Linked DNA regions of Oryzias latipes. The protein of the gene in region 1 interacts with the protein of each later gene in a pairwise test. Links are inferred from orthologs where the notes say so. Each region holds a gene or a part of one and is shown in the gene's direction. Other genes may lie near its edges. The genes, in order: immt, traf3ip1 and pfdn1.

Region 1 (3,650 bases):
TAATCAAATGTCATCAGTCTGACCAATCAGAAGTGGTTAAACTCTTCACTTCCTTGTTCTGATTCTGCTCCTAAAGTCTCTCAGTTCTAACAAAAATTCCAGCTAAAGCTCGTCTTTAGCGGTGTAGCTTTCCACAGAATCTGGTATCAGACCGTGGAACAGGTGAACAAAACAATGAAGCTCAGAGAAGTGAGTCTGTCTGACATCACTACATCACCCATAATGCATTGGGTTAGAGTGACAGCATCTCAGCGTACAATGAGTCTCTCCTCTTAACGTCTTGAAACCACAACGAACACACATCAAACAGTTTTTAAATCTTCTAACTTAACTTTTATTACATCTTTTAGAAAAAACAGCTGCAGCTTCCAGCTTTTCTGCCACAATCATCACAAAAATGCACGTGTGATTGTGGAGGTGCTGTAGATCAATACAGACTATGAGTTTCTCTTTTTTTGTCATTTTTGGATGCTGGTGTGCTGCAGGATTTTGTCATGGTTAAAGTGTGCCGTGGCTCAAAAAAGGTTGAAAAACAAGGATTTAGAGGACAGAGAAGATCCTAGCCTGTCCTTTCACACACACCATGTTCCACTGAAGGACAGATCCTGAGCTCAGGATGAGTTTGTGTCAGACCTTTAGGTCCTTCTCCACGACCGGTCCACTCCACCTTCATCTTCTCCTTGTCTGTTCCTCCAGGAGCTTCAGCCGAGGCCACCCAGATCATCTCTGCCAGCAGCGACGTCCCTTCAGTCCCGGCGCCGTTTGACACCCAACCCACAGCGGTCACAGGTAAATCACCCAGCAGGAACATGTGTAGAGTAATCAGATTACTGCAGGGCTAGGGGAGTTGTTACTCGTTGATGGTTACCATTAGCAGGGTCACTGTTAGCAGTAAATAGTTGTGGAGGGGGGGCTGACTGCTGCTGTTATCAGTGGTCCACGTGCACGCTCTTCAGCGTGCGCTCTCTTTTTCAGAGCACTGCGACGAGTGTCACCACGTTGGCTCAGAGGCGGCCCACAGCGGCGCCGATTCGCCCGCCGGGTCCACAGAACAGCTGGTGGAGCGTCCGGCCGAGGAGGTGTCGGCCCGTCTGGCCCAACAGGACCAGGATGAGCAGAACGTTTTAGCAGGTTTGACGCGAGAACCTGATTTCTCTGAGGCAGAACCTCAACTGTCTCCTCAGTGTGGGAGGGGTCTTCAGCAGACGCCCGACTTGTGACAGTTTCCAACAGAACCGTGAGGCTCATGCCGGTTGTCTGATGTTTGCCGTTCTCCAGCGGTGTCCAGCAGTCTGGAGGAATCTCTGGCCTGTTCAGCCAGAGCAGCGCTGCAGGCCATCGGAGCCCAGGAGGCGGCGCTGCAGGCCATCAACCAGCACACGCAGAAGCTGAAGGAGGCCATGGAAGCAGAGGTACTGCCATGGCCTCAGCGGCCTGGGGCCTGTGGTCAGTGTCATGGAAGACCACCCAAAAAAAAAAAAGGAGTCCATCGTTACTTGGATAATGGATTCCTGATTCATTTGGGAGATTTCTTGTTTTTTTTTTTGTGAGTTTTTAAATAAGGAAATGAATCATTTTGTTAATGGAAGCTCAGGTTTGTTTATAATAATAAATTAAAAGGATTCTAGAGAGTAATTTAAAATGAAAGCAACTAAATATTTTAGCAGAGACTATTATTTTGCTTTTTAACAGCAAAATTACACACAAAAATGCTCCATAAACATTTCCAATCAAGCTTCCAGCAGCAACATAAAAAAAGAGTAGACAAAAGCTTCTTAGTATAAACTCTGGATTTTAAATTTGTCACGGCTTTTCCAAAGATGACAGAAAATGTCTGTCATCTTTTTTTTATGGAGGGCTGAGAGGAAATTAGCATTTCAAAAATAAAACCTGTCATGATGAGGTTTGATTTTATTCAGATTGAATTACGGTATAGAGGTTTGAAAACGAATGTGGATTATTGATTAACAGAAGGTGCAACAGCAGTGGAACATTCTGGAATGTGATTGGCTCGTTAGAGGGAGGAGTTCAGTGACCTGACACTCTGTTCCCAGCAGAGTCCTCCCGAGGAGAAGTCCGTCCAGTGGAAGGATCTAGAAGCTGCTCTGATGGACCGGACCTCTGCTGTGACGGACGCGACAGCTGCCCTTCAGAAAGCCAAGCAAGTTACCCCCACCCCGAAAACATGTCACCCTGTTGACCTCAGGTCACCTCTGCTGTCTGCTGGTTCCTGAGCTCTTTAGCAGCACTCCTCTGCCGTTCTGGGCCTCAGAACAGCAGAACATCTCCAGCTGTCGGACTGTTTTTACATTCCCCTCGTTTCCTAGCGTGCACTCAGGCGTGTGCACGTGTCCTTCCGCCGCTCACAGAGCGCCGCCGTCCCCTGAAGCTGTGTTTTCGTCCCTGCAGGGAAGCTCTGGATGGTCTGAGGGCCACCATCAACGGCTCCAAAGACCTGAAGGTGGCCGCCGTCCGCCCGCTGGTCCTGGCAGCTGAAGAGAACCTGCATAAGATGGTGGTGGACCTGGACAGAGTCGTGGCTCAGGTTAGCAGCTGCTCTGCTCTCTCTGCCTCTAACCCGGTCTCAGGCTAGAGGACACATTATTACTCAAGGAGGCAGGTAATCAGTATTTGGAGGCGATATTTATTTGCAGTAAAGGTGACAATATTTTACAATTTAGAAGAATACAAACACAAACAATTAGTTTATTTCAAAAAACAAGTACCGGTAAATAAACAACCAAAGACATAGCTCCTCCTAGAAGTGCAGGGAGCAACAGGCTCAGCAGCAATTTTTTAGTTTTGTTTTAAGTGAAATAAAGATTTCCCTGAAAGTTTTTAATAGTAATAAAGTCAAACTTCAGCATAAATTGGAGGATTTATAATTTATGTTAAGTTGAAACAAAAAGTGCACAGTGGCAAATAGGGATGGGTATCGTTAAGGTTGTAACGGTACTACTACTCTTATCGATACTGCTTATCGATCCGGTATTTTAACTACATTCTTATCGATACTTTATGAGGAAGAAAAATAAATAAATATACAAATAACAAATTAAGAACAAAGTGTTTTATTTCCTCATTTTGCAACGACATTGTTTTTTTAACAAAACATTTTACTTTATACATGAGAAAGTTCCAGACAGGATATGTATTTAAGTATTTTTATTCTTTATGAGCGTGATGTTTCCTTTGATCTTTTGTCCATTTTCGACAACCTTGAATGGACTTCTGTCTGTCAAACACCCAGAGTTAAATTAAGTTAAGTGAGATGATGGAAACAAATTCACTTTGATACGGACTCCTTTCTGTTTCTTTATTTTTTTTTAAATCCAGTAAACCCAATAAATTATATAAATTGTATGGAGGAAGAATATCATTAGTTGTTACTTATTATTAAGTTTTAGGAAGCAGCTGTTAGTTTGTTGCGGGTCTGGAACCATAAGCGGTGAGTCTAAGCCCCGCCTTAGACTGATCCGCAGTTAAATCATCAGTAGACCCAATTCACAGCGAATAGAATAGAAGACTTTGTTAATCCCACGATGGGGAAATTCCTTTTGTCAGCGGCAGCACAGAAAAAATCAAACAAAAATAGTTGGACTAGTTAAGCAATCAAACGCCGTCTCTTGGGCCGTGAATGGCAGAGAGCT
Region 2 (3,650 bases), on another chromosome or scaffold:
ACTGCTGGCTAAAGCAGGAAATAAAGAACAAAAATAAGGTATAGAAGGTTTAAAAAAACCTGTTTAAATGTAAGGAGAGCCGGTTAGATTTGACAAAATAAAGAGCGGAAAGTCCCCCTAAAAGAAAATAAACTTCTATATCTATATATAAAATGAAGGGAATATCTGTAGGAAAACATGGATGATAAATAGAACATCTTACTCAAGTAAAAAAATATAAAAACGAATATATTTAACATTACATATAAACATACATTATTAAAATAAATATATATATGTATTAAAGTAAATGTTGTACATTTTTGCATATAGTAAATAATTCCAATAAGGATAATTTTAAACTTAACTATTCTACATAACTTTAGCATAAACAAATTGTAACATTGTGTAGCACATTTTTTGGTTTGTTCATGTTCTGCTGACTTATTTAATAACTAATCTGTTCTAATTATTATTATTTTGCACAAATGCTTTTTGTTCTGAAAAGTAACAGAAGACCAGGTCGACCTTGTGTAGCTGAAATATGTCTGCGCCATCTGCGCAGTCTGCGCCGTCTGCGCATGGCGTAAGAGAACACCCAGGCTGAAAGAGAAGCTCTTTGGTGACAGGCTCTGGCTCTGAGAAGGTTTTCTGAGGTGTTAAAACTCTAGTCGGCTGTTGGCACATGAGCCTGTAGTAGTGCTTATCCTTAGTAAGTGGGACTCACTTCAGTTTTGCCTGAATTCTGCCAAATTCCACCAACAGAAAGCTGCACTCAAGCAAGTTTCAGATCAAGCATCGTTGAAATCATTTATCTGACCATCTAGAAATGTATTTTTCACTTATTTGTTTTATCATTTTTTTATTTTTAAATTGATGAGAACTGATTATTGTTACCAAACATTTGTAATTTTTCAGGGTTGCTGTTTCTCTGTGAACAGAGAGCTCTCATCCAAACCTGCATTTTACAACTTTTCAAATAGTGGATTTATGTTAGAGTGAGGCTGGAGGAAAAGTGGAAAAAATGGATCCCCGTTCATGTGATTTGTGAAGTAATGTATCCTCCTGGGACATCATTTGGTGCCTCACATCAAAGAGACAAAAATTGGACCCACTTGTGTTTTTTTTCCCCATTTTCTTTTTCATTTAATTTCAACCATTAAGAGTCTTTTGTGCAGGACCATTACTTAGATCCTATCTTGAATATGTAGCATTAAATTACAGATTGTACCCAAAAAAAAGCAAAGTAGAGACGCTCTTACAGTTAGGTGACATGAAAGTACTTTTTAGTTTAGCATTTTCTAGAAAACCTAAAAGGATGGAGTGAATAATCTTTAACTAATTGTGCTTTTTTGCAGATTTGTCCTATTAGTTTTTGGAAGCATGAATTTCTGCCGTCTCACAAAACAAAAAGGTTTTCCGTAAACGTTTTTAAAATATGCCTTTTGATTTCCGTCTTACAAAGAGGAGCAATTTTTAAATTGCTGGTTCCTCTTATGTATAATTGTTATTTAATGGTCACAACATTCACTGGTAAACTAGAAAGTGGTGCTTACAAAAATAAAAAATAAAAAAGGGAGAACCCTTGAATTCCTTCTTTTTCCAGATATGTTTTTGTACTCACCTTTCTGGTGATCCTTTTCTTTTTTCAGGGCAAAGAAGCAAGAATGTCTTTCCTCCAGAAAGCCATAGACGTTGTGGCGTTGGTAAGTGGCGAGCCGTTAACGGCAAAGCCTGCACGAATAGTTGCTGGGCACGAACCGGAGAAAACCAACGAGCTGCTGCAGGCCATCGGCAGATGCTGCCTCAACAAGGTCAGTGTCACTGAAAGATCACACACAGAAAAAAAAACACGAGAAAAGACATTTTTTATGATTGCTTAATGTTAACTCAGTTACTCCGGAGACCAAACTGTTGTGTGAAAACTCAAAAACCTAAATCTATTTTTCACATTCATTAGATTAACAACACTCTGTAGGAAATGGTTGTTTAGCTTCAGGAAAAACCTGGAAAGCTTTAATTGTACCCTGGAGATGGGAGGAAACGGATGAACTGATGCTCTGGGACTTCTTCCTCTAAACAATATGGAAACAGTTATTGGCAACATAAAAACGTCTCACAACTTACAGATACGTATGTGACAAACGTGATTATCGATCTGGAGGTTTCTCCCTTGTGGAGAAATATTGTAAAGTGAGTGAAAAATAGTAGCGAGTCAGATCAGTTCGACAAAAGCTAAGCATCTCAGGTTTGATTTGTCACAGGAGTGGAATTCTATTTTCGTTTTATCTTTTTGCAGTTATCCAGTGATGAAGCAGTGAAGCAAGTGCTCTCAAGAGGAAAGGTGGACCCAAAAACCAAGATTGGCACATCCCAGGACAAATCCCAGGACAAATCCCGAGAGAAATCCCAGGACAAGAGGCACAGGGAGGAGCGCAGCCATGGTCTAGATAGAGATGTGAGTTCTCAGTACAGATGCCCTCTTTTTTTGTTTTTGTTTAATCAGTTGTTTGTTTTTCTGTGTATTTTTTGTCTATGTTCTTTTTCACTTCAACCATTTCAGGGGAAGAAAAGATTAACCGAGCGCAGCAGCAGTCGAGAAGAGAAAGACACAGTGAAGCCCAAAGATCAGCAGCTCAAGGGCGAGCAGAAGGAGCGCCGGCGTGACCGTGACCACTCTGACAGGCGCCATCGCAGCGACCAAAAGCCCGCAGCAGAAAGAGAAAAGAGTCGAGACCAGGAGCAAGAACGCCACAATGGACGCGCTCGGGACAAGGAGAAGGAGCAGGACAGAACAAGAGATCGGCAAAGAGACAAAGACAGAGATTCTCACAGAGACCGGGACAAAGGAAAGCACAAGGAAAAAGACAGAGAGCGACAAAACGGCAAAGGGGAGCAGAACAAACGTGCAGAAAGTGGGGATAAAAGGGTACAAAACTTCACTTCCCTTAATGTCTGATTATATATTAGTAGCAAAGAATGGTAGATATTATACAGATGCTTTTGTGTTCAGACCAGAGAGCCAGAAGAACCGGAGCAGAAACCCAGTTCTGATGAGATCAACAGTCAAACAGCCAAAACGGGGACACCGGTAAGTTTATCATTTAGTATAATTAGGAAGCTAATCTGCACAATTTTAGGATTTATTAAATATAAATGAATTTTTCTATTGTTGTAACTCGTGTTTTTGCAAGGAACCAAATCCTGATGAAGAGGTAATGAAACCCTAGAAAACAGTTCTGCCTCTAAAAGTCCCACTCCAATCATCTATGGGTCTAATTTCAAAGCTTTCCTAGTGAATTTAGCTTTGTATTTTATAACTGATTTTAGGTTTTCTACCTAAAAGCACGTTGAGATACCTGCGTTGTAATATTATATAAATAACATCTTATTGAATAGAGCTGAATTAATTATGATTACAGGCTTAATCAAAATGCTGGTGTCACTTTCTAGGGTCTGCAGAGCAGCAGCTCATTAGAAATTCACCCCCGAGTTGTGGGCGGGATTATTGGCGTAAACCGCATAAGCCCGCCACCCTTCTATTTACATGCTCTCCCACTACCTTACAGCTTCACCCACTCCTAACAAAAAAATGACCGGTGAAGCAAAAATGGCGAAGAATATTGGCGCTTTCCAGTTCTTAAAGTTTTGAGCCAAATGCCAGTTCAGAC
Region 3 (4,178 bases), on another chromosome or scaffold:
ATTTTCGCTGACGATGAGCCAAGCGAACATGCAATTTCATTCCCTGACTTTAGATGGCGCTTAATGTAAAACAGAAATACCCCTGTACACAAGGTGGCGCTGCGCAACTTTACGCTTCTTAAAGTCGCTTTTCACTCAGAAGAAGAGAGCAAGTATTTACGCGCTTGTCAGAATCAAACAAAGAAAACATGAATATTTCCAGCACCAGTAGCTCCAGTTCCAGCAATGAAGAAATTATTGTTCTGTTGAATGATGTGTTGCACCGAGTAAAGACTGATAACTGCCGTAAAGCAAGTCAAAGTTTTATTAACACAGGATCATTATTTGCAGTACAATACCTTTATACCGATGACACCACAGCAAACGATGAAAGACGCTGGAAAAGACGCAGATTTTGGGTACATCCCATAGTTACGAGAAGAGAAGAACATGGGGAGTTTTATCGACTGGTACGAGAGCTAAAAATGTATCATGAGCGTTTTCGGGGATATTTTAGAATGTCCGTCATTATTTCTTTGCGGCAGTGTAGATTCCACTTGGCGTCTTATCTTCTTCGCTGGTATGTGTGCTCAGAAAGGCAGTTTTGTGTTTGAGCGCCCCCAAGTTGTGTTTTACTGTAACTTCAGAAGCTCCAGACACGTGTCCAAAAGCCCCATTCTCATTAGTCGTATAGTTTTTGCCGCGTGGCGCCAAACCAAAAAAACGAACCCGAGGCATTTTTTATAAAGTGACGCTTTGAAGCGTGGCGTTTTTTCACGTCGGTGTGCACACTCACATTGGTGCCCTTTGTTTAGTCATGAGGCGTTAAACATCGGCGAATATCGCGCGCGAAATTCGTCCCGGTGTGTACGGGCCTTAACTGGCCACCTCTGCCACGAATCTCGTTCAGTGTGAACGCACCTTAAATGTAACCATAACACTAAACTTAACCTTTCCTCTGGGTCCGGGTGTTCAAGAATTAAGTTTTGCACTGGCCACAAGTATTTGGAAAATGACGTGTGAATAGTGCTATGCAAGTGTATTCAACAATTTTTACAATTTCTGGGACTGTCTATCGGTCTTCACTCAGGCAAGACGCAGCTTGCAGATAGGGGGAATCGAGGGCGGAGCTAATCAGCACCAATAGCCACGCCCATGTAGAGGAGTTCTTGGAAACACGCTTCAGATAAACATGACATTTTAAAGACATTTGGCTTGTGGAATTTTAGTTAAAAAAAACGTCGTAATTGTAACTAAAACACCACTGGGAACGTTTTTATTTTTTTTAAAAAAAAGGTCACGGGGAGTTTAAATAGATCATCGTTACTGGGAGGGGCTGTGGGCAAACTTGATGCTGCCACAAAATAAGCCCGAAGAAGACAATCTTGCGCATGCGCACTCGAAATCTACTCTAAAGATGGCGGCGCCCGTGGACCTGGAACTAAAAAAGGTGTGTAGTTTACAGGACGCCGAACACATCATATGTCTGACGCACGTGGTTGCGCATACTCTCCGATATTGGGTTACAGGCAGCTACCGCTGGTAGTTATTAGTGTGACCCATACCGCATTCAGTGGTGCACGCGGAAGGTTCACGAAATTCGGCTGACCGGTCACTTCACTAGTAACAAACATGTGAACCGGACCATTGTGTACCTGCACCGAATCTTTGAACCCCTTAGAGCAAAATGAGTTTTGAGGTTGCCCCCCCCCCCCCATCTCTTTGAAACGGCCGAGCATCCTTTCTGATCGGGTGGACCATATTCCAATCCCACAATCCTTTGCGGTATTAACACTGAGACAAAAGATGATGGGGTTTGAGGAAACCAGATTATGACAAACATGCTTGTAAATGTTAAAGTCCAGTTTTCCATCTTTCAGTGTCGTGGATTATTTTAGGTCAGATGTCGTTTTTTTTTTTTACCTCCTTTATGCAAACATTTAAATGGTCCAGGTTTATATCTTCATAGACTACCTTCATGTAGCAGATCGCTTTGCTTGTTAACTGATTTACAGGAGAGGCAGTGTTTCATTTTTCTGTTTGACTTCCTGAATCAAGCCAGAGAAAAGGAAGAGATGGGAGAAATAGTGAAACTCTGATTCTCTCCTGGTTTCCTTTTCGACTTTGAACAGAGCGATACTTCCTGTCTCTGCAGGCATTCGCCGAGCTACAGCTGAAGATGATTGACACACAGCAGAAGGTGAAGCTGGCCGACCTCCAGATTGATCAGCTGACTCGAGTTCAGAAACATGCCAAGCTCACAAGCACAGAGATCTCCTCGCTGCCGGAAAACACGCGCCTGTACGAGGGCGTCGGCCGAATGTAAGTGTGCTCTCCTGTAATCAATGCCAACTCACCAAAGAACACAGATGAGTTAGACACATCTGAAAAACATGAAACCAGTCTGGTTTTTCCATCAAATGTCTGGTTCTGCTTTGGAAATCTCAGTGTCACACGGTTCTACTGCAGTTGTGAAACCATGTGCCTCTTATTTTGAAAACTTTACATTTATTTTAAGGAGATCTCCACCAGATTCACATAAATTTCTTTTTGGAGAGGTTTTGATTGGCCTCATTGATGCTACTGAGGCTCCATGAGAGTTCCAGACAGAGGAATTCTGTCTGACCTGATTGACTTTATGAACTTCACATCCAGTCAACACTTTTATACACAAGTTTGAAGAGGATGTGCGTTTAGCAACTGATCTGCACAAACACTGAGCTACATAAGGGTTAATGGCCAACAAAGTGTGCTTTATCAGCATTAATGCACTTTATGCGTTAATGCTGATAGCACTCTTGCCTCGGAGCAAGAAGGCCACTGGTTCAAGTCCCGGCTGGGGGACCTGAAACAGAACATCAATGGGGGACCTTTCTGCATTGAGTTTGCATGTTCTCCTCGTGCATGCATGGGTTTTCTCCGGGGTCTCCAGCTTCCTCCCACCGTCCAAAAAGATGCTCCATAGGTTAATTGGCAACTCTAAATTGTCCATAGGTGTGAATGTGAGTGTGAATGGGTGTGTGACTGTGACCCTGCGGCAGACTGGCGACCTGTCCAGGGTGTCCTCTGCCTTCACCCATAAGTGGCCGGGATAGGCTCCGGCAGCCCCGTGACTCCGAAAGGGAACAAACGGAAGAAAATGAATGAATGAATGCACTTTGTGGAAGCAACCGTCCTCCGCAGTTGCTTCCATAAAGTGCATTAATTTCTGATTGTGCCCACTTTGACAGCCGTTAATCCGCTGCTACCATGATTACTTACAAAAGAAATAAATATATAACCAGTTTTTAGGCCTTTCATTCTAACATTTTTATGGTTCCAATCTCTTTTTTTTCTCTTCACAAAAAGTCGACTATTTGTTACGTGTCACGGTAACATAACGCGCTGCTTAGCCCCACTGACCTCGACTGCTGCGGCAAAGGAAAGCAATATATATGCTGATCGTCACCACGGGTTAAATAAAGCATCAGTTCAGAGAGAAAGTTTACCTCTTTTAGTCCAGATGATGAGGCTGAAGTTTGTTTTAAAGAAGCCAGTGCAGTGATACAGAACAGTTAAGCTATGTGCCCGGAACTTCTTTTTTAGGCGTACATTATCACCGTGGATTATCACTTTAATGCACACCCAGCAGCCAATCAGAATCGAGTATTCACCCGGACCATGGTATAAAGAAACGTTAATGTCTGAATGCTGCCTTTAGGTTCATCTGCCCTGCCGATCCTATAGATGACAGAAAACTGTTGTTTCAGGTTCATTCTTCAGTCCAGGGAGAAGATCAACAACCTGCTGACAGACAAACAGAAAACCGTGGACGAGAAGATCAAGGAGCTTGAGGTGCGAGTGCCTGCTCCATCACAGCTCGCAGTGCATGTTTGCGGGTTTCTGACTGTTGCTGCCCGTTTGTGGTCTCTTGCAGCAGAAGAAGGTGTACTTGGAGCGCAGCGTGAAGGAGGCTGAAGACAACATCAGAGAGATGCTGCTGTCCAGAAGAGCTCCGTAATCCGTTTTTTTTCTGTGCCACGTGATCCCAATAAAGCCCCTCCCACCCCTCTGTGTTGGTGTGAAGTGTCTCCTAAAGGTCTGTGAGGACCATGTAGGTTTGAAGGAGAGATGAGGGTCAACCAAACTGCAGTGGGGGTCAGTGACTGGGACACAACAGCAGAAGGAACCTCCACGGGCCTTCAGACTGGATGTTCTGT

Evidence for each region.
Region 2: the proteins of immt (region 1) and traf3ip1 interact in a two-hybrid assay, tested with the Homo sapiens proteins (2 studies listed by BioGRID and IntAct). The link is inferred for Oryzias latipes from reciprocal best matches to the Homo sapiens genes IMMT and TRAF3IP1.
Region 3: the proteins of immt (region 1) and pfdn1 interact in a two-hybrid assay, tested with the Homo sapiens proteins (2 studies listed by BioGRID and IntAct). The link is inferred for Oryzias latipes from reciprocal best matches to the Homo sapiens genes IMMT and PFDN1.

What each region holds. Positions count from the first base shown.
Region 1 is NC_019868.2:4,710,582-4,714,231, forward strand, and holds part of immt (MICOS complex subunit MIC60), read left to right. Parts: intron 1-696; coding exon 697-789; intron 790-975; coding exon 976-1,131; intron 1,132-1,278; coding exon 1,279-1,412; intron 1,413-2,054; coding exon 2,055-2,161; intron 2,162-2,409; coding exon 2,410-2,545; intron 2,546-3,650. UniProt on the Homo sapiens protein: Component of the MICOS complex, a large protein complex of the mitochondrial inner membrane that plays crucial roles in the maintenance of crista junctions, inner membrane architecture, and formation of contact sites to the outer membrane.
Region 2 is NC_019879.2:26,422,029-26,425,678, reverse strand, and holds part of traf3ip1 (TRAF3-interacting protein 1), read left to right. Parts: intron 1-1,631; coding exon 1,632-1,793; intron 1,794-2,278; coding exon 2,279-2,437; intron 2,438-2,542; coding exon 2,543-2,908; intron 2,909-2,992; coding exon 2,993-3,070; intron 3,071-3,173; coding exon 3,174-3,194; intron 3,195-3,650.
Region 3 is NC_019872.2:23,090,088-23,094,265, forward strand, and holds pfdn1 (prefoldin subunit 1), read left to right. Parts: upstream 1-1,264; 5' UTR 1,265-1,330; coding exon 1,331-1,429; intron 1,430-2,134; coding exon 2,135-2,301; intron 2,302-3,728; coding exon 3,729-3,813; intron 3,814-3,895; coding exon 3,896-3,979; 3' UTR 3,980-4,032; downstream 4,033-4,178. UniProt on the Homo sapiens protein: Binds specifically to cytosolic chaperonin (c-CPN) and transfers target proteins to it. Binds to nascent polypeptide chain and promotes folding in an environment in which there are many competing pathways for nonnative proteins.